Mus musculus: one gene and its partner. The protein of the gene in region 2 interacts with the protein of the main gene of each other region in a pairwise test. Links are inferred from orthologs where the notes say so. Each region holds a gene or a part of one and is shown on either strand. Other genes may lie near its edges.

Evidence for each region.
Region 1: the proteins of Nudt21 (region 2) and Myl6 interact in binary tests that used the Homo sapiens proteins (3 or more experiments, as listed by UniProt). The two-hybrid records come from large-scale screens. The link is inferred for Mus musculus from reciprocal best matches to the Homo sapiens genes NUDT21 and MYL6.

The regions. Positions count from the first base shown.
Region 1 is NC_000076.6:128,491,087-128,502,261, forward strand, and holds the start of Myl6 (myosin light polypeptide 6), read right to left. Parts: upstream 2,801-11,175; 5' UTR 2,726-2,800; coding exon 2,723-2,725; intron 2,481-2,722; coding exon 2,453-2,480; intron 2,268-2,452; exon of another isoform or gene 2,248-2,267; intron 1,960-2,247; exon of another isoform or gene 1,853-1,959; intron 1,660-1,852; coding exon 1,516-1,659; intron 1,317-1,515; coding exon 1,143-1,316; intron 1,051-1,142; coding exon 973-1,050; intron 679-972; coding exon 650-678; 3' UTR 634-649; intron 262-633; coding exon of another isoform or gene 212-261; exon of another isoform or gene 204-211; intron 1-203. Other genes in the region: Myl6b (myosin light chain 6B), read right to left, coding at 3,369-3,397, 3,504-3,581, 3,968-4,141, 5,167-5,310, 5,528-5,555, 6,115-6,285. UniProt on the Homo sapiens protein: Regulatory light chain of myosin. Does not bind calcium.
Region 2 is NC_000074.6:94,026,544-94,037,172, forward strand, and holds the start of Nudt21 (cleavage and polyadenylation specificity factor subunit 5), read right to left. Parts: upstream 10,497-10,629; 5' UTR 10,350-10,496; coding exon 10,234-10,349; intron 5,960-10,233; coding exon 5,759-5,959; intron 4,665-5,758; coding exon 4,601-4,664; intron 2,382-4,600; coding exon 2,292-2,381; intron 1-2,291. UniProt on the Homo sapiens protein: Component of the cleavage factor Im (CFIm) complex that functions as an activator of the pre-mRNA 3'-end cleavage and polyadenylation processing required for the maturation of pre-mRNA into functional mRNAs.

The DNA of each region.
Region 1 (11,175 bases), on a different chromosome or scaffold from region 2:
ATGGGCCAGGAGACCACGAGACCATGAAGGTGGCAGGAGGGAACATGCCCATAGCAACCAACCTTGGGTCAGTTTTCAAAAGAGCCACTCAGAGTGGCCAGTTCTCTCTGTCCCTGGTTCCCCTCCCACTGGCTGTTAGCCCCCACCCCCAATCTAAATAGCAAGAACATAGCAGAGGCAGAAAAGTTCTCAGCTACACCTACAGTTATGGTCAGCCACTGGCAGGAGGAGAGGTCAGCTTTGGGTTAGGGTACCTCCACGCTGTCCAGTAGAGGGATGGAAAAAGGACTTTTGTTTTAGCAGCAGAATGGGGCAGTTAGCTCAACCCTGCCCCCGCCAACTCTAGAATCACCATCAGACCAGCCTTCCCTACAAGCTGGTGAGCGTTCCCAGACACCAGCACCAAGACCCCTGTAAGTCAAATCTCAGAGACCATTCTAGGAGAGGAGGTACCACACCCCCAAACTGCATTCCTCATTGAGGAATTTCTCCCCTCCCAAGCCAGCTCCATGCAGAGTCATGCCAGGAGTAAGGCAGATGGTAGTAGGGTATGGCCAGAGGCTAGAGCACAGGTTGGGAAGGAAAAAAAAACACTAGGGAGATAACTAGAGGAGAGGCTGGGAGGAGCCGTACCCGCCCCATGGGCCCGTCACCCCGACAGGATATGCCTCACAAATGCTGCAGGAAGGAAGAGACATTAATGGTGAAGACAAGACACAGACATGGGGTGAAGGGGTCAGGCAGTGGAACAGACATTCTGTTTACGTCCCATTCCTAGCCCACCCTCCGTCCTCCATCACCCCCCCCTTTACTGCTGTCTCCCCAACAGTTCCCTCCCAGGCTGGACTGAGCCTTGCTTGCCCCTTTGACTCCCGACTCCCTTCTGGAACCAAGTCTAGGAATACAATGCCTCTTTAACATCTCCTGAACGACCATTTCCTCACAGGCCCCAGTTTATGGTCTGCCCCTCACCTTCATAGTTGATGCAACCATTGCTGTCCTCATGCCCCGCCACTAGCATCTCTACTTCTTCCTCTGTCATCTTCTCGCCTGCAGAGGAAGGAACATTCTTAGAACTGAGTGACTGACGGGTGAAATATATCAGGTGGCAGCTCAGCTCCAGAAAGGTCACAGACCCTTACCCAGTGTGACTAGGACATGACGGATTTCAGCACCCATGACGGTGCCATTTCCTTCCTTGTCAAACACACGAAGGCCTTCAACATAATCCTCGTAGGTTCCCTGGTCCTTGTTCTTGGCCACGGTCTGCAGCATGGGCAGGAAGTGCTCAAAGTCCAGCACCTTCACATTCATCTCTGTCATGTGGGAGGTGGAGGTGTCAGACAAGAGAAGTCACACATGTTCTCAGGACATGACGGTAGGGAACACAAGGACGGCCAGAAGAGGGAATCAGAACTGGATGAGACAAAACTTGCTCAAGTTTGGCACCTATGCAGATAAAGGGATGACTTTAGCTGAACAACCATGAACCCACTACATTCTTGAAATGCTCACCATCACTCTTGGGGTTCCCTAGGACCTTGAGCACCTCGGCGTTGGTAGGGTTCTGGCCCAGGGCCCGCATCACATCCCCACACTGGCTGTACAGGATCTTGCCATCACCTGTTCGGTCAAACAGCTGGAAAGCCTCCTTGAATTCTGAGGATTCAGAAGAACGGCAGCACCAGGGATTAGCCCCGTGCTTGCTGCACAGCTCTGCTGCCAATTCAACTTAAGTCATGCTGCAGAAACCAGATATCTTGTCCTCCTCTATACACAAGACTACTCCTAGGGATCTATTTCTATCAACTCAAATGCCCCACATAAAGACAGGCAACCTTCTTTCCCTTACCTTAAGGTGGTAGCCATCTGTTTACACACCCCCTGAGCTGCGGCAGGCTAGGCTCTCCACCACTACTATACAACTCCGCAGGAATCTGCCACCGCCCAGGCTAGGTCCTGCCCATATAAGGAAGTAAGAGCCTGGACTCTAGCCTCCCACTCCCACCCTTCCCCTCCGGGAGACCTTCCAAGAGGTGAAGCCACATCCTTAGCAAACTCTCCAGTGCCCATCTTAACAAAATATCAAGGCACTGCCCTCTACAGTACTCAGAATCCAAGCTTAAGGAGGGGACAGTTATCAGAGGAGAGGCAAAAAAAGAAGCAGCAAACCACAAGCGTAATAGACCCGACACATAACAGGCACTAGTCAAATTGTTTCACACACCCACACCACCTAAAACTCACCCAGCGCTTGGGGCTCAGATCTGGAGTGGAAGGGGAAGGAAGAAAGAATGAGAAAAGAAAATGGAGGATCTAGAGCAGAAGGAAATCCACGGGGCACTCTCCTGGGAGCGCTGGAGGTGACAGGTTGGGATCAGAAGATAGATGCTAAAGGAAGGGGGTCCCTCTCGGTAAGGATGACCTGAGCTGCGGGTCAGAGACTGCCTACCTGCGGTCTGGTCCTCGGTGAAGTCACACTGCTCGGAGAAGAAGGGATTGGTCAGTTACCTGAGGTCCAACCCCGCAAGCTTCTATCCCGGCTTTACAAACTCCTGTTTGAAGCCGAGGATTCGCTTCCCAGGGCAAAGCCCTAGACATTCCAATCCCACAGCCAACCTTCCAAAACCTGGGCGTGCCCACGTCCACTGCTTTCTCTACTCCCACCCGCGGTCCTCTCCTTGCCCCAAATCCCCCTGATCTCCCGATTCCCAGGGCCCACCATCTTGGCTGCTGAGCTCTGCTGGACCTTTTCCGGCAGTAATGGCTCCGACGCCCTACCCAACCCCAGCCTTAGTACGTCCCATGGCGCATGACGTCACCCTCCGCCGTTTCATCCAATAGGCACGCTAGTCTGGGCTCATGCAGATGACATCACTACATTATTAATGAGGTGGGGGGGGGGCGCCCTACCTCGGCTCAGGAATCTAGCAGGGGGGCCTGGGTTGGGACTCTCGGAAACCTTTCTTCCGAGCTGCACCAAGAGCAGAGGATTTGGGCTTTTGCAGAAGAGAGGACTACCCGCTCCCGTCCTTCCTCTTTCTCAAAAGAAAACTGTCGGAAACCGAAGCAGGAACCATGTTTTTATTTCAAAACTGTAAGTGCCCCCTAGTGGCAGGAACGCGCTTCTGGCCGCACAGGAGGTGGGGCAAGTTTCCGTCGCTGCAGGTTCTACGTGGGGTGGGAGTCGGGGCTGGGGTGGGGTGGGGGTGGGAGGGGGTGGGGGGTGGGGAAGGAAATAGTCCAGCCCTGGCGGCTGCGCTACGGACGGGCGCGGAGACGCACTGCCTGCGCTTCTATCTGGTGGATCGAGGACCCTTGCCTCTCAAGCGGATACCAGGGGCTGGCTGGAGGGCCACCTGCGGAGCTCAGAGGCTTAGGATATGCTTCAGGAAGGCTGCACGAAAGGAGACGAGAGGACTTGAGAAACTGACCTTCGGGTAACTGAGGGTACTCCCACCCCCCTCAAGTCTCCTTACTCCCTGGCCATCCTGCCCCCTCACCCTCATAGTTGATGCAGCCGTTGCTGTCCTCGTGGCCTGCCAGAACAGTCTCTACCTCTTCCTCAGTCATCTTCTCTCCTGAACCCAAAAACAGTTAGAGTCCCCCGCCTTCCCTGCCTCACCAGCCCAAGACATTCTCAGGGTGGTTCATCCTCCCACCCTTGCCCTTTTTCATATCAACGGTGCCTTGGAGCAGGTGAAAGCTTTGACTTGACAGCGAAACAAGCTGCCGGGGTTGAGACTTGCATGGAATCAACACAATTGTGGCTTGCAAAGGGGGACATTGCATTCCCTGCCCTTGGCTCATAGCTGGACACTTTAGCCTCTAGGTGATCTGTCTCCACAATGCTGGCCCTCTTGAGTCTCCTGCCCATAACTGCAGGACCATAAACCCATTCTAGGCTCTACTTAGCTCTTCCAGGACCCCCCACTTCTCCACCCCACAGCTCTGGGCCCTGCCTCACCGAGAGTGGTAAGAACATGTCTGAGCTCTGCACCCATGACCTTGCCGTTGCCCTCTTTGTCAAACACACGAAGCCCCTCTAGGTAGTCCTCATATGTGCCTTGGTCCCGGTTCTTGGCCACTGCCTGCAGCATGGGCAGGAACGTCTCAAAGTCTACACGTCGGGACTTCAGCTCTGGCAATTAGATAGAGATGAGAGAGATCAACTGAGGTGTGGGATCCAGTGCAATTAGATAGAGATGAGAGAGATCAACTGAGGTGTGGGATCCAGTGCCATCCAACCCTACTATTGTGACTTTCATCCCTTTCAGCATTCAGGATGTTTCTCTTCCCTGTGTTTGACGTTTTTTGAGTCCTGAGGTCCATCCTAGCGTCCTCTGTCACCTTACCAATATTCTGTCATTGAAAATTGAAACTGTTGCCAGGCCTGGTGGTGCAGTTTTGTAACTACAGCTACCAGGCAAGTTCAAAGCCAGCCAGAACAACTTAAGACTGTCTCAACAGAAAGGAAAAAAAAAAAAAAAGGAAAGGCAGGGATGTAGCCCAGTGGCTGGACACACTCAAAACAGAAAGAGAGAACCACTAAGCCCACACACCTTCAGTCCCAGCATTCAGAGGCAGGGGAAGTCCCTCTTGAGTCTGAGGCCAACCTGGTCTATACAATGAGTTCCAGGCTAAGCAGGGCTATATAGAGACACCCTATGTAGTAGTAATAGTAGTAGTAGTGGTGGTAGTAACAACACTATCTAAACAACAATAATAATAATTAAAATTTAAAAAGAAAAAGAAAACTGGGGATTGGGGCTGCTGGGATAGAACTGTAGGTCCCTGGCCAACCTGAGTAATTTGGTGAGCACCTGTCTCAAAAAGTAAAAAAAAACAGTACCTCTGTAATAAGGGCTTGCCTGGCTTGCCTGAGGCCCTGGATTCAACCCAGCACTACATAAACTGGAGTAATCCCACCACTCTAGTGGGCAGTAGCAAGAGGTGGAGATAGGAGAATCAGAATGTAAGGTCATTCTTGGCTGGGATACTGAAATCCTATCTTGAAAGAAAGAGAGAGAGAGAGAGAAGAAAAAGAGGAAGAAGAGAAAGTTGCTGGCTAGAAATGTAGCTCAATGGCCCAGGCAGAACCCTGTATTCAACGTTCAACACCAAGAAGAAAACAGAAACCCCCACAAAACTCAAGGCTCCTCTCACCCTCGTTTTTGGGGTTCCCCAGGACCTTGAGCACCTCGGCGTTGGTAGGGTTCTGGCCCAGGGCCCTCATCAGGTCCCCACACTGGCTGTACAGGATCTTGCCATCACCTACTCGGTCAAACAGCTCAAAGGCCTCTCTGAATTCTGAGATGTAAGGAGAAGGCAGTGTGACCAAGGATCCCCATCACCAACAGAGAGAGGGAGGTTTGCTTCAGAAATTCATGTGCTAGAGCCAGGCATGGGAGGGAGGAGAACAGGACAAGTGTGGGAGGTTTCAAGGTCAGGACTGTCGTTAGAACAGAGAATCTGACCAGGAGTTTGGGGTTTGACAATGGGGCTTAGGAAATGGGCTTCTCCTCACCCTCCAGCTGGTCCTTGTTAAACTCGATCTGTAGGGGACAAAAAGGGCAGGTGAGGAGATGACAGGGCTTATTCAGTCCCTCTCTATCACAACCAACTGGCAGCCACTTCTGGGGAGGGACCCAAAGGGATGAAGGCGGGGAGCCGGGCCACTTCAGTCCTGTCCCCAGCTCTGGGCCTTGGGAGAATCCCAAGAGGAATTACAGGGGGAGGGTTTCTTGGGAACAGGGTTAATCCCATGCCACCTGTTCCCTTCCCTCCTGCTACCCCGAGTCCTGCATCCCTCACATAACTGGGGGCTGAACAAAGGCTAAATTTACCCCTGCCCCCAGCTGTGATTGTCTAACAAGCCTGCCCTCTTCAGTCTCCCCTCCTGGGGTTCAGAGATGTAGCCTTCTGAGTTGAACAGAAGAGCCAGAGGCAGACAGCACCCCTCTCCCTTCACTTCGGAAACTGGCCTGACCTGGGAGCCCCAACCTCATTCCAGCGTTCATTCATTCCCTATCCTTTCCACATATTCCCGGATACCCAAGGCTGCACCGCATCTCTGAACTATCCCTTCCAGATTCACACTTCCCCAGGACTCACCACCACTTTGGAGAGATCAACAGGGGGCTCCTGGGATTTTGCAGGTGCCTGGGGGGCAGCCGGCTCAGCCTTGGCCTTGGCTAGAGGGGTCCCTGGTGTAGACTTGGCAGCAGGCTTAGAGATGGAGGGCCCTGCTGGTTTCTTCACGGGAGCATCCTTCTTGGGAGGCATGATGTCAGGTGGCCAAAGAACAATGTGCTGATGGGGGCACCCATCTCTGTTTAAATAGGCAGGGAGTCTGGGATGTCAAGGGGCGGGGGCAGCAGCAGGGACAGGGAGCCAGTTGGCAAGGGTGAGGGGGAAGAGACTTATGCCTGTCTGCCCTCACTCCCCTGGCCTCCTATGGTTCAGGACTCCTGCCCCCAAAGTTTTCTTCCCTCTGATACCACTCTCCTACAGCTGAATAGAATGTTTTCTTTAAGGGTACAGAGAAGAAACACGAGACCTGTCAGAATAGGGATTGTTAACCTCCAGGGTGAAGATAGGATGTTTGCCAGTGATTCTGAGATAGGAGCTAAGGGGAGAAAGAAGAAAACTAAAGTAGAAAAACAAACAAAAACTTGCATTAGTTTTAGACCGTGGGAAAGCCCAAGCAAAGCAAGGGCTTGGGGTGGAGTCGGGGTAGAGGGGTGGGGGGCTGGTATCAGGTGGGAAGTTTTAAAATCTGTTCTGGAAACAGTAAAAGGTGAGAGGAGGCCTTTGCACTCCCTTCTGTCTTTTCCCGTATCCTTAGAACTTGTAATCCCTGGGCCCCCACCTACCCCCAACCTTAAACTATGCACAGTAACTCGAGCGTGTTATTACCCACTGACTTCTATACCTAATGTTGGTTTAGGGGTTCCAGTGTAGGCAAGGCTTAACATCTGTCACACATAATTCCAAAGAAGGAACATTTTTCAACAAGACAATGTTATTCAAATCAAACAAAAGGCTATAATGCCTAGTGAGCATGGAGGGAACACACACACACACACACACATGGAGGGGGCCCTGGGAGACAAAGAGCCCCCTAATAACCCAAAAGGTTACAGGACCTCCAAAGGAGTTCATAGGTATCCACACGGACACACCATTGGTCAGGATCACATCAAAAACCTTAGCTGAGCTTTGAGTCACAAACCTTGCTGGAAGCGCTGATGAAGGGAAAAGATGATGTTTGGGAGCTAGGAGGTTCTGGCTACTCTGTTCTTGGATAAAGAAGAATTACATGGCATTCTGAGAGACTGGTCATTCCACTTAGGCCCTGGAGTTCGCAGAGTAGCAGTGGGTCTCCCATTTGCAAAAGGGCGTCAGAATCTTTTTACTGCAAATTGTCCCATTTTTGGAAAATAAAGAATCCTTCCTAAACAAAACGCCCGTTTCCCTCACTTTCACTCACTCCTAAGCCCTAGAGAGGAAAAAGACCCTCCCAGCCCCTCAAAACTCACCTTGCCGGGTCCGAGGAAGGGGCAGGTGGGGGGCGGGACTCAGGGCAGCTCCTGTCCCTGAAGGGTTAAGTGCGGCTGCCGCAGAGCATGCTGGGAGTCGTAGTCCGCGAGCACCCGCAGGCTCACAGGAAACCTTTTCCCAGCCGTGAGAGTTGGTGGTGACTTCCGGCCCCTGGTGACAGTTGGTGACTCAGGTCCTGAGGCGTGCGCCGGTTCCGGAATTGAAAGGGCCTGAGCTGTCCCCACCCATGACCCTGCGGCTGCAGACCCACAGACGCCCGCAAGGCTAGGGGCGGGGCCGGCCCGGGCGGTGGGAGGGGCCGGGCGGTGGGCGGGGCGGCAGCGGGGGCTTCCTCAGGCTGTTAGCTGCGGAATGGTGTAACTTGGCAGAGTTTTGCGTTTTATTTATTTATTTATTTATTTATTTATTTATTTATTTATTTATTTCACATTTGATAGTGGTCGAAAGACTGACTGAAGTAGATGTTAAGATTTACAATTTAGCCTGGCCATCTGCTTCCACTCTCCTCCTTGTGGAGGCGTCTGCTGAGGCCGCCAATGCACCGCGGTCTCCCCCCCCCGAGATACCCAACAAATGCAACGCTGGGCTCTGCAGTCCTTCTTTACCTTTCCGACACCATTGCCCAGCCTGAGTATTTGCACTTTCTCCCTGGAGTTTAGCAAATGTCTGAGTGCAGAGAGGGAACCGGCCCACCGTCCCGAAACAGACGAATAAATAACTCTGGCGGCGCGCCTCATACTAGAGCTTGTGCAAGCAAGTGGACCAGAAATAGCTCAGGGTAGAAGACTCCCAGCGGCGCCATAGGAAGAATGAGGCACAAGCCAATTTTGTACCCTGAAACGGACATTCCCCGGCTGGAAAAAGCTTGAGTAAAAAGGTCTGTACGGGTGCAAGGGATGTAGCACAGTTGGTTGCACAAAGCTCTGGGTCCCAGCACTCAGGAGGTGGAGACAGGAAGAATCAGATGTCTTTGGGACGTAGGGACTTCGGGCCAGCCTGAGCTACATAAGATCCAGTTTCAGAGCAGAAAGGGAAGGGACGCCTGAGAGCTTGTCTTAAACTAGAAAGCAAGAACAAGAAAGCAGTCTTGGTGATAACACAAATGTAATCCCAAGTCGGGGGGTGAGGGGGGGGGGGGGACAAACGAGCCTGGGCTATACAGTGAGACTCAAAACAACAGTGAATAAGGGCTGAAGTTAGAGCTGGCTGGCAGAACAATTGTCTACAACCGTTCAGGTTCTGGGTTCAGTCTCCATCACCATTAAAAAGGATTCCCACCCCCCCTGGTTTGTTTGTTTGTTTGTTTGTTTTGTTTTTTGTTTTTTTGGTTTTTTGAGACAGGGTTTCTCTGTATAGCCATGGCTGTCCTGGAACTCACTTTGTAGACCAGGCTGGCCTCGAACTCAGAAATCCACCTGCCTCTGCCTCCCGAGTGCTGGGATTAAAGGTATGTGCCACCATGCCTGGCTGTGTTTTATCTTAATAGATATGTGGTCCGGTGTGACTTTTTTGTTTACGTTTTTCAATGGCCTCAGTCTGCTGCTGCACTGGCTAGCCTGCCCTGCCTCCCTGTTACTCTGTGTTCTAAGGTTCTTGGGGTCTAACCCAGAGCTTTCTGCATGCCAGGCAAGCGCTCTACCCTCGTAGCCCTGAAAGGAAAGAAGTGGTGATAATCACACAGCAGTGTATCACTTCAGAAACTTGAATAATTGTGGGTTCACCCTATACAACTAGATTTTGTGTTTGTTTTATTTTTATTTTGAGACAAGGTTTCTCTGCATAGGCTTGGCTGTTGACTTTTGTCTTTTTTATCTATTTTATTGAGAGTTCTTATACTATTCTCTCCCTTCTAACCCTCCCCCCCGCCCCAATACAACATGAGGTAGGAGAGAAAGGCTACAGAGGAAAGAGGACGAAGACCTCCACAGGCTTCTTCCTTGGTTAGGTTGTGGTGTTCCCAGGGGCAAGTCAGCATCCCAGCAACAGCAAGGGGAGCAGCTGCCGTAGGCCTTCTAGGGGCCCTTGTATTAATATCCTCTCCAGAGTCTCTAGAATTAAACTATCTGCAGATGGCAAAACCATGCCCCTCTTGGAGCACAAGACAATCATAGTGGCTGAGGACAAACTGAAGAAGCCCCATATCCCACACTTGGGCTTAAAACAAAAGCACATAACATGAGGGGGTTTTAAAGAAACCAGAACTCTCAGTACACCCACCTGTCCTGGGCTCGCTCTGTAGACCAGGCTGGCCTCAAATTCCCTCAGAGAACCAGGCCAGCCACAAACTTAGAGACCTGCCTGCCTCTGCCTCCCGAGTGTGGGGATTAAAGGCGTGCGCCACCACTGCCCAGCTGGACATTAACTTTCTTTTTCTTTTTTTTTCTTAAGATTTATTTATTTATTTATTATATGTGAGTACACTGTCACTGTCTTCAGACACTCCAGAAGAGGGAGTCAGATCCCATTACAGATGGTTGTGAGCCACCATATGGTTGCTGGGATTTGAACTCAGGACCTTTGGAAGAGCAGTCAGTGCCCTTAACCACTGAGCCATCTCAGCAGCTCGGACATTAACTTTCTAAGTCAACAGAAAAAAAAAAATTGATAGCAAAGATAAGTGTGCTGGCCAGGCTTTTTTTTTTTTAATTCTTTCATATACTATATCTCAGCCTCAGTTTCCCCTCTCTCCCCTTCCCCTGTCCCTCCCCCACCACCTCCCCTCTCCCCCAGATTTACTCCCCTCCAGCTTCCCTCAGAAAAGAGCAGGCCTCCCAGGGACATCGATCAAATACGGCATATTTAAATAGGCACATCCATCGCACCACATCAAGGTTGGACGAGGCAATTCAGTAAGGGAAATGGTCCCATAAGCAGGCAAAAGAATCGGGGACAGCCCCCACTCCCATGGTTAGGATTCCCACAGAACCACCAAGCTACTCAGACATAACACAGAAGCTCTGGCTAGTTTTTATGTCAACTTGACAGGAGCCAGAGTCATCTGAAAGGAGGGAACTGCAACTGAGAAAATGCCTGTCATAAGGTAAGTAGGCAAGCCTGTAGGATATTTTCTTTGTTTTTTTTTTTTATTAATGTATTCACTTTACATCCCAATATCCGCCCCTCCCCCACATCCCCTGGATATTTTCTTAATTAGTGATTGATGGGGAAGGGCCCAGCCATTGTGGGTGGTGCCATCCCAGGGCTGGTGGTCCTGGGTTTTATAAGAAAGCAGGCTTGAGCGAGCCAGTAACCACACCACTCCATGACCCTGCATCAACTCCTGCCTCCAGGTTTCTGCCCTAACTTCCTTGCTGGACTGACAGAACCTGGAAAGGTAAACAGAACAAACCCTTTTCTGAGTTGCTTTTCCTTATGGTGTTTCATACAGTAGTAAAAAAAAAAAAACCTAAGACAGGAGTTGTTACCGGGACCGGGGGCTGTGGCTGTGACAGAGATGCCTGGCCATACGTGTTTACTGTTCGATGTTTGAGGGTTGTGGCATTTGAGCTCTGGGCTGGGAAAGCACTGAGTGCTCAGAGCACAGTGAGATGCTCTGTGGGAGCTTGGAAGATACAAATGTCCAAAGCAGTGCAGAACACAGAGGCCTGGCCT
Region 2 (10,629 bases):
TGCCAATGCTTTATAAAATAAAATCTCCTTTACAATTCACACTAAAATATTTACAACTGAAACAACACCTAGGATTTGCTTCAAACAGTCCATGGGGAAAGCAGGAAGATGAAGCAGCAGTAAGAGGGAGGGAATGAAAAATACTTCATCTGGGCTGGAGAGATGGCTCAGCGGTTAAGACTACTGGCTGCTCTTCCAGAGGTCCTGAGTTCAATTCCCAGCAACCACATGGTGGCTCACAACCATCTGTAATGGGATCTAATGCCTTCTTCTTGTGTGCATGAAGACAGAGTACTCATATACATTAGAATATATATAAATATATATATAAATAATAAAACCCAGGCAGTGCTGGTGCATGCCTTTAATCCCAGCATTTGGGAGGCAGAGGCAGGCAGATTTCTGAGTTAGTGGACAGCCTGGTCTACAGAGTGAGTTCCAGGACAGCCAGGGCTACACAGAGAAACCCTATCTCAAACAAACAAACATAACAAAAAACACTTCACTATGAATTTATTGTTAAAGGTGAATTTTACTTACTATAAATTCTACTTCTACATATTTTAAATTTTTTCTCTTAAAAGAAGCACGGTGGGCTGGAATTAGCCCTGCATACATAAGATGTGGTTCAATCGTTAACACGTCAAAAAGGAAACAAAACAACAGAATCATCCTGAAACTGTGGTTTACTGTCTTGGCATGGTATAATCCCAATGCTTTGGAGAGAGAGGAAGAATAGTTCAAGTCTAGACTTGGCTATCTATTACATTCGATATACATCACATCACATACATACATACATTGACACACATATACATACATATACATGCATACATAAGACAAAATAAGAAGAGAAGAAGGAAACTCCGCTTGGCTTTGTAATGTTTTCTAAATCTAAATTAAAGAGTCAAGAAAACAAAATTAAAAGTCAAGGTCCACTTTGATCTTTTTAAAATTTTAAACATTTCTACTTGTTTCTTTTGTGTTTGAGAAGTGTGGTGGTTTGTATATTCTTAGGTTAGGTCAGGGAGTGGCTATGTTCAGGTATGGCTCCCATGGACTCATATGTTTGAACAAACCTATGGGGACCAGAGAGTGGCACTATTAGGAGGTATGTTCTTGTTAGAGTGGGTGTGTCACTGTGGGCATGGGCTTTAACATCCTAGTCCTAGATGCTTGGGTAGTATTCTGCTAGCAGCCTTCAGATGAAGATGCAGAACTCTCAGCTCCTCTTGCACCATGCCTGCCTGGATGCTGCCATGCTCCTGCTTTGGCAATAATGGACTGAACCTCTAAACCTATATGCCAGTCTTAATTAAATGTTGTCCTTATAAGAGTTGCCTTGGTCATAGTGACTCTTCACATCAATAAAACCTTAAGAGAGAGAGGGTCCCATTTTCAGCACCTGTGGTAACTAACAACCGTCTTAACTATACTTCCTGGGACCCACTTCCTCCCTCCGACTCCCCAGGCATCAGACATATATATATATACAGACACACACTCATACACAAGAAAGGAAAAAGCTGTTTGGTCTTAAAAATGGTTTTTAAATCAAAATTAAGAAATGGGAATAAGAAATGGGAAGCTAAGGTCTACTCTGATTATTTTTTCATTTTTTATTTAAAAAATTTCCATTTATGGGGCTGGAGAAATGGCTCAGTAGTTAAGAACACTGGCTGTTCTTCCAAAAGACCTCGGTTCAATTCCCAGCACCCCCAAAGCAGCTCACAACTGTCTATAACTATAGTTTCAGAGTATCTGACACCTACACAGACAAACATGCAGGCAAACTACCATTGACCACAAAACAAACAAAAACAAAAAGACATCTAATATTTCTTTTTAAAAAAAGGTGGTGGGAGGGTAATTGAAGAGATGGCTCAGCAGTTAGAGTCACTCACTGGCTGCTCTTTCAGAGGACCCAGGTTCAATTCCTAGCATCCAAATGGCAGCTCGCTACCATATGTGACTCCAACCTCCAGAGATCCGACATCCTCTATGGCTTCCACAGGATACATACATTCAGGCAAAACACACATATACATAAAAATAAATACATCTTAAAAAAAAAAAAAACGTTTTCACTTTGTGTGTGTGTGTGTGTGTGTAGATGCCACAACATTGTCCTATCCTTCTACCATGTGAGTTCCAGAGATCAAACTTGGGTCATGAGGCTTGGTAGCAAACCCACTGAGCCACCTTACTAGCCCTTAGTCACTCTTTAAATGTCTTGAATTAGTGACTTTTCTGCTTTACCAAATGCCTGGTGAACACAACTGAATACTGACCTGAGGAGGTTCAAAATTTGGTCTCCACCAGTTCCCAATGCAGTCATCAATGACCCAGTCTTGCAGGACTCCATCTTGACGACCAAGTATCTGTGCAAAGTAATATAGTAATGAATACACACACCTGAGAATTCCCTTCTGGGTTCAGTTGTTTTGCCCAGTATTTATCTCTATGTTGACCAGTATTTCTTTTTTCCAACTGCCGTAGAATATTAGGACAGGCCGGGCACTGCCATGATGCCTGCACCTTTCCCCGACTCTGATGATCTTATAACACATCTGTTAAACCAATGAATCAATATCATACTAAAGAAACCCAGACAGTTTATGGGTATCTTTAATTTCTGCACCTAATGTCCCTTTTCAGGCCCAGGATCCCATTTAAGATACGATACTTATGCCATCAGTTTCCCCGAGGCTGCTCTGGACAGTGACAGTTATGATAGTTTGATGATCTTGACAGATTTGAGAAATGCGAGTTAGGATTTTTGAGTAGTATTTCTCAGTAACACTGAGATTCTGGCACGGAAGATAACAGAGGTAAAATGCCATTCTAATAGGATATCAAATCATATGAAAGGGTCATGTTATCAATATGATTCACTGCTAGTATGAACCATGATTACTTATCTGAGGTAATGTTTTTATTCCCACACTATCTGAGAGCTCAGATCAGTTTTCAGTTCAAACGGCAACCATTACCCGTCTTCCTTTTCCTCTATCAGTCTATTCTGCTCTGGCAACAGCCCAGTTCACAGCTGAGCACAAGGCCTTCTTTGGCCTGTCCCCTACAGCACTGCACATTCATGGTCTGATTATTATATCATTCCTGCCTTATTCCTTCATCTTGAAAGCAAACTTTCTCTATTGTCTCCTAAGAAATGGTATAAGACAGTACAGTTTTGAAATTTCTGCAAGAGTTTAAATAACTATTTTTTCCTACAGTTGCTTTACAGTGCATGTAGCGATCACAGGACAAGAGATCACAGGACAAGCGATTACAGGACAACTCTGTGGACTCAAGTTTCTCCCTCCCGTACAGGGGTTCTGGAGATGGAGCCCAGGTCGTCAAGCTTGGTGACAAGCACCTTTATTAACTGAGCCATCCCACCTGCCCTGCTAAAGTCTTCTAAGCGGCTCCTCGATTCACAGATACAGCACTTCCGCTATTACTCCGAGAGAATCATGATTTTTGTGACTCATTTAGCTTCCATTTTGGCTGAATTCCTTTTGCTTTTTTAGACTGTATTTTCGTAAAAAGGTCTCTTCACAAGCCAATGATATATCTGCTCATTAGGTGCAGGAGTTCTGACACAGCTATGCCCCCTCGTAAGACTTCAAATAAAATCACCTACTTTTCTTGGACTGGTCACTCTGCAGAGCAGAAATCTCCAGTCTTCTGCCCAGTACCACCTCTCAGCTAGGAACGGTACTGTTCTGTTCCACACTGACGGCTGCTCTCAGTCCTACTTCACAGCGTGACTCCTACACTGCTTACTAGTCAGGATCCAAGTTTTCAGATATTCTCCCCATCTCTTAAACATTTTACTGCTAAATGTTAGCTGGTTTAGTGCCCACTGACTCAGTCAATAGTCAGTCCTGGCACAACTGGACAGAATGGGAAAGACAATATATATCAATATAACCTTTATAGAGTCAACCAATCCAGCTGACGCACGGGCTCACTGGCCCTGGAAGCTAGCACGGGCAATCCCTCAGCCTCTCCGTTCTTCTCCGCTGCGTTTCTGACGGACATCCTGCTGAGCTCCATTTCTGCTGAGTCTGCTGTGGTGTGCTCCACAGCCTTCTGGCTCTCGCTTAGTTATGACTTCATCTTTTTGTTAAGGTCTCATTTTTGCATTCCATAAACACTACTGAATTTTATACCTTTAAAAAAAAAAAATGACCTTTCTCCTGACGTTTTGGTAGTTTTCAGAAGAACCAGAGGAAACGTGAGTAGCTTTCCTCGGAAACCGCTACCAAAGCGGCACCTGAGCATTATTGTTTCATCGACATTTTAGTTTATTTAGCAATTGGGTCTCACTCTGTGTGGCCCAGCTGGCCTAGAACTCACTATGTAACCTAAATGGTCTTGAACAAGATAATCCTTTGATCTCAGCTTAAGATCTCAGACATATTTATTTTCCAGAAAACAATTTATACTAATTCAGATTTAAGTTCTACTTACTGACTAAAAACTGCTCAAATTAAATTTATTTCTACAAGACACATGAGAATTTGATTATTTATTAAGTAGATAGTATTCAGATGGGCAATAGAATTGTGAAAGTGGTTAAACAGAAAAATACCTCTGTCATTAAGCGTTTTAGTCCTTCAACTTCATCTTCTCCTGGGTTAAGTTCCCCACCAGGTCTGTAAAAGTTAACAAGTTCACGTTACAATTGAATACAATTTGGGGATAACAGCAAGAACACAACTATCATCACTTCAATCGGGTAACTGAGAAGACACATTCCAGTGACATCTGATAAGCCATCAAAACAAGGGCCAAAGGTGGAGGCTGTGCTGGGAAGTTGAATCTATAATATTAAGTACCAGACCACTGTATACAATCCTAAGTTTAAACAGCAAAACTAGTGTATATATAATGAGCACAATCACTGGCCAACAATCCATGTCAGCCTCCTCAAAGGAAAGCTAGATTTAATGGAGTTTAGCAAACAAATACCCAGAGAACAGACTGCATTCTTAGATCTGAAGAATGGGGACATTTTCTTTTTTTTAAGAATTATTTATTTATTTTATGTATATGAGTACACTGTAGATGTACATATGGTTGTGAGCCATCTTGTGGTTGCTGGGAATTGAATCTCTGGTCCCCCATCAGATCTCATTACAGATGGTTGTGAGCCACCATGTGGTTGCTAGGAATTCAACTGAGGACCTTCAGAAGAGCAGTCAGTGCTCTTAACCACTGAGCCATCTCTGTAGTCCCGAATGGGACATTTTTCAAGACTATCAATTTAGTTTTGAGGCCTTTCTTTCTCTCTTTTTTTTGTTTGTTTGTTTGTTTGTTTGTTTGTTTGTTTGTTTTTCAAGACAGGGTTTCTCTGTGTAGCCCTGGCTGTCCTGGAACTCAGAAATCCGCCTGCCTCTGCCTCCCGAGTGCTGAGATTAAAGGCGTGCACCAGCACCACCCGGCAAGGCCTTTCTTTTTGGCACAATCTGACCAGTGGGCAAGTAAATATTTAGAGTCATAAGCTCAAGTGATTAAGCTACATGAAAACAACTGAATTCAGTAATAGTCCCATCACTTTGAGAAATCGAGTTTGGCCTAATGTAGCTCTATGGAAAGGAAATAAGCATTGTACTGGAGAAAAGTCTTTTCTTCAAAGACTCATTCATGGTACTGGTTTAAATAAATAAAGGTTAGACTTTTATTTTAAGCTGCATTAAAACAGTCATTTTTTACACGTTGTCCTGCTGTTATTTCTAACACTACTTACAATTTGAAGAAAGTTGTCCCCAGCTGCAGCAGGAGCACGTGGGGCAGGCGGTGTTCATGAACAATCAGAACCCCTTCTACAGTCCTTCTCATCCCAATCTTATCAAATTCCTCCCTCATGCGCTGAAATCTGGCTGCAACAGAGCTGTCCTTCTCATAGAGGGGCTCCTTTGTACCAAAAGTATAATTGGTAAGCGGGTACCTGTGAGCCAAATACAAACATTAGCATGAGAACCAATGCTCTTATTTACTTACCAGGACAGTTCAAAACAACACATACAGAAACCATACAAACACATACAAAACTACACTGTGCCAGACCAGTCAAAGCTTCGTAAGCAGCTATGAGAGAGCAGAGAGCAGGGTACTGCTGCTGCCTGATTCCTGAACCCAGCTCTTCCATTCCTCAGTCACAGACAACACTGCCCTAAGGTCCCTGAAATGCTTAGCCAAGTGTTTATCTATACTGGCTTTAGATCATTTCATGGCACTGATACCAGAAGTAGCAGCCTGGTTCCTCTGACTAATCTAGTTACAACTTCTATTAACCAACCTGTACTAACAGCTAATCTGTTTTCTCCTATGTGCTGAGCCACCACTGTCTATCAGCAGCTCTCTAGTTGCTTGCCTTTTAATATCTTTAAAAATGAGTGTTTGTACACATATATGTATGGTGTTCTACAATGTGTGTCTGTGCTCTCCTTTCACCATGTGGCTTCTGGGGAACTGAACTCACATCAACAGTCTTAGCAGCAAGCACCCCCATCCTTAGAGCCACCTCACTGGTGGTGCCAATTATTCTCTGTTCCTCCCAGTTAACAAATAGTCAAATTTTTCTAGTTCCTTTTTTGGATCAACTTTACTTCTTCAGTTTTTGGCTGCTTGTTTTTTCATAGAGCTGACCTGGAACTCACTTATTTATCAGGTTGGCCTTTAACACTGAGACCCACCTGCCTCTCCCTCCCAAATGCTGGGATTAAGGTCATGTAGTACCAGTGGCTTAGACCTGTTTTCTCTTTCCCTCTGAGCCTTGTGTAAGAGAACCCAAACTGTGACTTAAGGTGTCAGACTTCATCTTGCTTAGTAAAGATCAAATCCATATTTACACTGTACCACAGTCTACCTTGCAACCCCTTGAATATAGTTTTTTTCCCCAGTAAGAATATTTTGACTGAACATGGCTAATCCCAAAGTATTTCATCTACCAAAAACCCCTTGATATAGGCCTGGGAAGATAGTAAAGTACTTGTCAAGCAAACATGAGGACCTAAATTCAATCTCCAGCTCCCACGGTTGGAGAAGGTTTTGTGCACTGTCTTCTCAGATGCTGATTTCTATGCCCAGACACCTGGTTACAGTCCTGACAATGGCATGGCCAAGTACCTTCAGTCTCAATGTTATGTAAAAACTGGTTTCCATTACCTCTGATGCGTTAATAAAGAGCTGATCTGCCAATCAGCTGGGCAGAAGAGAATAGGGCAGGACTTCTGATCCCAGTATGTGGTCTCAAAAGGAGAGAGAGAAGGAAGAAGGTGGAGAGAGCAACCAGGGCCATGAGGACACACATGGACCAGACTAAGCTAGGGCGAGATTCAGACAAAAGACCATTTGGCTGGGTATTGGCAGCCTAGTTGAATTAGAATAGCTCAGAATCTGCATGGCATAGTGGCTGCGGCTTGTTAATAAGAACACCAAATCCTTTTATTCAGGATAAAGTGCACACTGAAATGTTTTGTCACTACCTGGGAGCAAAGGGGAGAGAGAGGAGGGGATAGAAAAACCCCCAGAACTACATTTACAACCTACCAAAAACAAACAATAAAACCCACCAACCAACACACACACACAATCTGAGCACAGTAGTCCCAATATTGTGGAGATGAAGACAGATGTATTTCTGGGGTTCACTAGCCAGCCAATCAGCCTAGCTTACTCTGCAAGTTCAAGGATGGTGAGGGACTCTCGTCTCAAAAAAAAAAGTGGGAAGGGAGGGGCTGGAGAGATAGCATACGTAGGCACACCTGCAAACACTACAAAACTAGGCTGCTGAGATGCTCATGTGTAAAGCACCTGACATGCAAACTGCATCTGAGGTCCAATCTCCAGAACCCATGCAAAGCTGGCTGCAGTCGGAACACCTAAAAGCCCAGTGCTCCCAAAGCAAGCTGGAGGGCAGACAGAAAAATCCCCGGAAGCTTACGAGTCAGGTAACCTGGCGCAGATCAAAAGAGACCCTATTCTCAAACAAGGTGGACTGGCTCCTGAGATTGTCCTGACTTCCACACATGTGCTGTGACTCGCACAACATACATTCACAAATGCTGTGAACACACACACATATACCCCACATACACAACTATATATATCTGCATGAATGCATATAGCACACATGTGCAACATGCACACACACACAAACCAAACCAAAAAACCCTCTTGACGGTAATAGACAACTACATACTCTCTCTCCTCAGTTGTTCTTGAGAAGGGAAATCAAGGTAGCCAAAAGGAAAAGATTAATTCCAGAGGTCAAATTCTAAACATAAAGTAGCTCTAAAATAATAAAAACATGCCATTTTCAGGGGACTTTAAAGACTATCAACACTTTTGCGGTAGATCCAAAAATGAATCTTATACCAACAATATTAGGAAGAAGTTACTACACACAGTTTTATGTACTGTACAATGCATTACATGAGTTAACTTTTGGTTTCCCCAACCTACATTACAAAGAATTGAGACTAGCCACAACACATTTCTATTGCAAGGGCTATCTCCTACATCCCAGGATCTCAGCAGAACGAAATGTTCCAATTTCTAGCTGTGAAATCTGAGCAGCAGCCCACAAAGAGCATATTCTCCCCCACATCATACTGTAGGCATCTTAAAGCAGAGTGTGCATCTACACACCGGGCCATGTGCATGCACACAGTGGTACACTGGGACCCATCCAGTGTTTCCTGAATGGGAATGGACTGCAGAAACAAAAGATGTACTTGCTACTTAATGGGTAACCCCCTCAGGTGAACTCAAGTTCACAGCACAACAATTTTACTTCTCAACACTGCATTTACACAGGAAGCAAAAGTTACGTGCTCAACCTGCAAAACCGCCTGCTCAAAGTACATGGATTTCAACAACTCTCCCCAGTGGCTGCTGTCAACAGACACAGTAATCAAGGAGAGTTTAGAGAAGACCTATGGTGAAGTCATGCTTCCAATTTTTCACTTTTTTGAGGTGCTGGCGATAGAATCCAGGGCATTCCACACACGAGGCAAGCCCACTACCAGTTAGCAAACAACTCCTGTGCTCCTCCACTCTTTTTAAAGGAGCACTCGCCTCTCCCATTTTATGGGAATCTTATAAGCACTTAAGTGACAGAAAATTAAAGTGCTACTGTGAATTGTGGGACAAAAGTAAATTTGCACAGACACGACTGTCAACTATTTCCACATTTTATAAACCTTGCATTTCATTACCGAAGTTTGCGTGCCATTACTTGTTTTGTCAAAAACAATAGTAGTAGTTGTTCTTGAGAACAGTTCTCAAGAGCTCAACAAGTTTTCAACTTCATGTCACATTTAGTTTTAGGAGGAATGGTTTATTTACTTGAATATGAGAGATTTGTTTATTTATTTGAATATGAAAGGTGAGTCACTAAAATGACTTACACAAACCCCACTCTCAGCAATGTCTTGCACATTTTAAACAAATAACCAGTCTAAACTGGACACTTTTTTCCCATTAGAATCAGCTCCACACTAGGGAATGAGGTACCAAACATTATAAGCTATATCCCAATCTCAATTTCTTGCCACAACAAAATTTTGTTTGAGTGATCCCGAAATGCAATCATCTGCTTAAGACAAAGGTTTGTTGAAAACAAAACAGCCTGCAAACAGGCTGTCGGGACAACATGTAAGGTACCTCCGACCTCTGAAAGTACAACCAGACAACAGAGTGTGTCCTCGCAATTTTAGGTCTACTGGGAGTCTGCAATGATACTGTATGTTGGCACTTTGGTAGACAAGACATACAAATGCAAAAAGGTAGACCAAACAGCGCGAAAATTAATAAAATGTGGCCACTGGATGGAACACTACCCAACATTTAAAGGGGGAAAAAAAAAAACTAGGATGTCAGAGGTTAATCTGGAAAAGTTACTGTAAAAGAAATGTACACCCTACAAAACTGAGAATTGTTCAAATAAACACAAATACATGTGCGATGAAACAACCAGCAACGGATTGAAAGGATACACACATTATGAATTCAAAGCAAACGCAGGTTCTAACCATGGCTGAATGAAGGGAAAGGGGGAAACGAACCTCGCTTTTAAAATAGGAAAACTGCCAAGTCGGGGTCGAGAAACAGGTCTAGGAAAGAAAGCGCGCATCCCGGAAGGGACAACCCGCATCCGGCGTGAGGGAGGAGCGCGCACTGGGAGAGCATCAACGGCCGAGGCCGCGCCGCACTTACAGATTAATGGTGCGCTCCAGGGTGAGGGGCTTGGTCTGCTGGATGTACTTGTTGCCGAACTGGTTGACCCCCCGGGGCCAGCCCGTCTGCGAGCGATTGGGCGGCACCACAGACATGCTGAACAGCTCCGACGCCGGGGACGTGCAGAAAGCGGGGGCCCGGGGAGACGTCCGCGGGGCGGGCAGCGGTTATCTGCGTCCCGCTCAGCAGCCACCACCCGCCATTAACAGTCGAGAGCAAGAGGCGCGGAACACACGCCGGAAGTGAATACGCTCCGGAGGCAGGAAGTTGGGAGGCAGGCCACTGCGACCATTTGACCAATTGCTGGCGGCGTGACGCAATATGTTGATCTCCCATTGGTTATTTTTGTGGAGATCCCGCCTCCCTGTGCTTTAC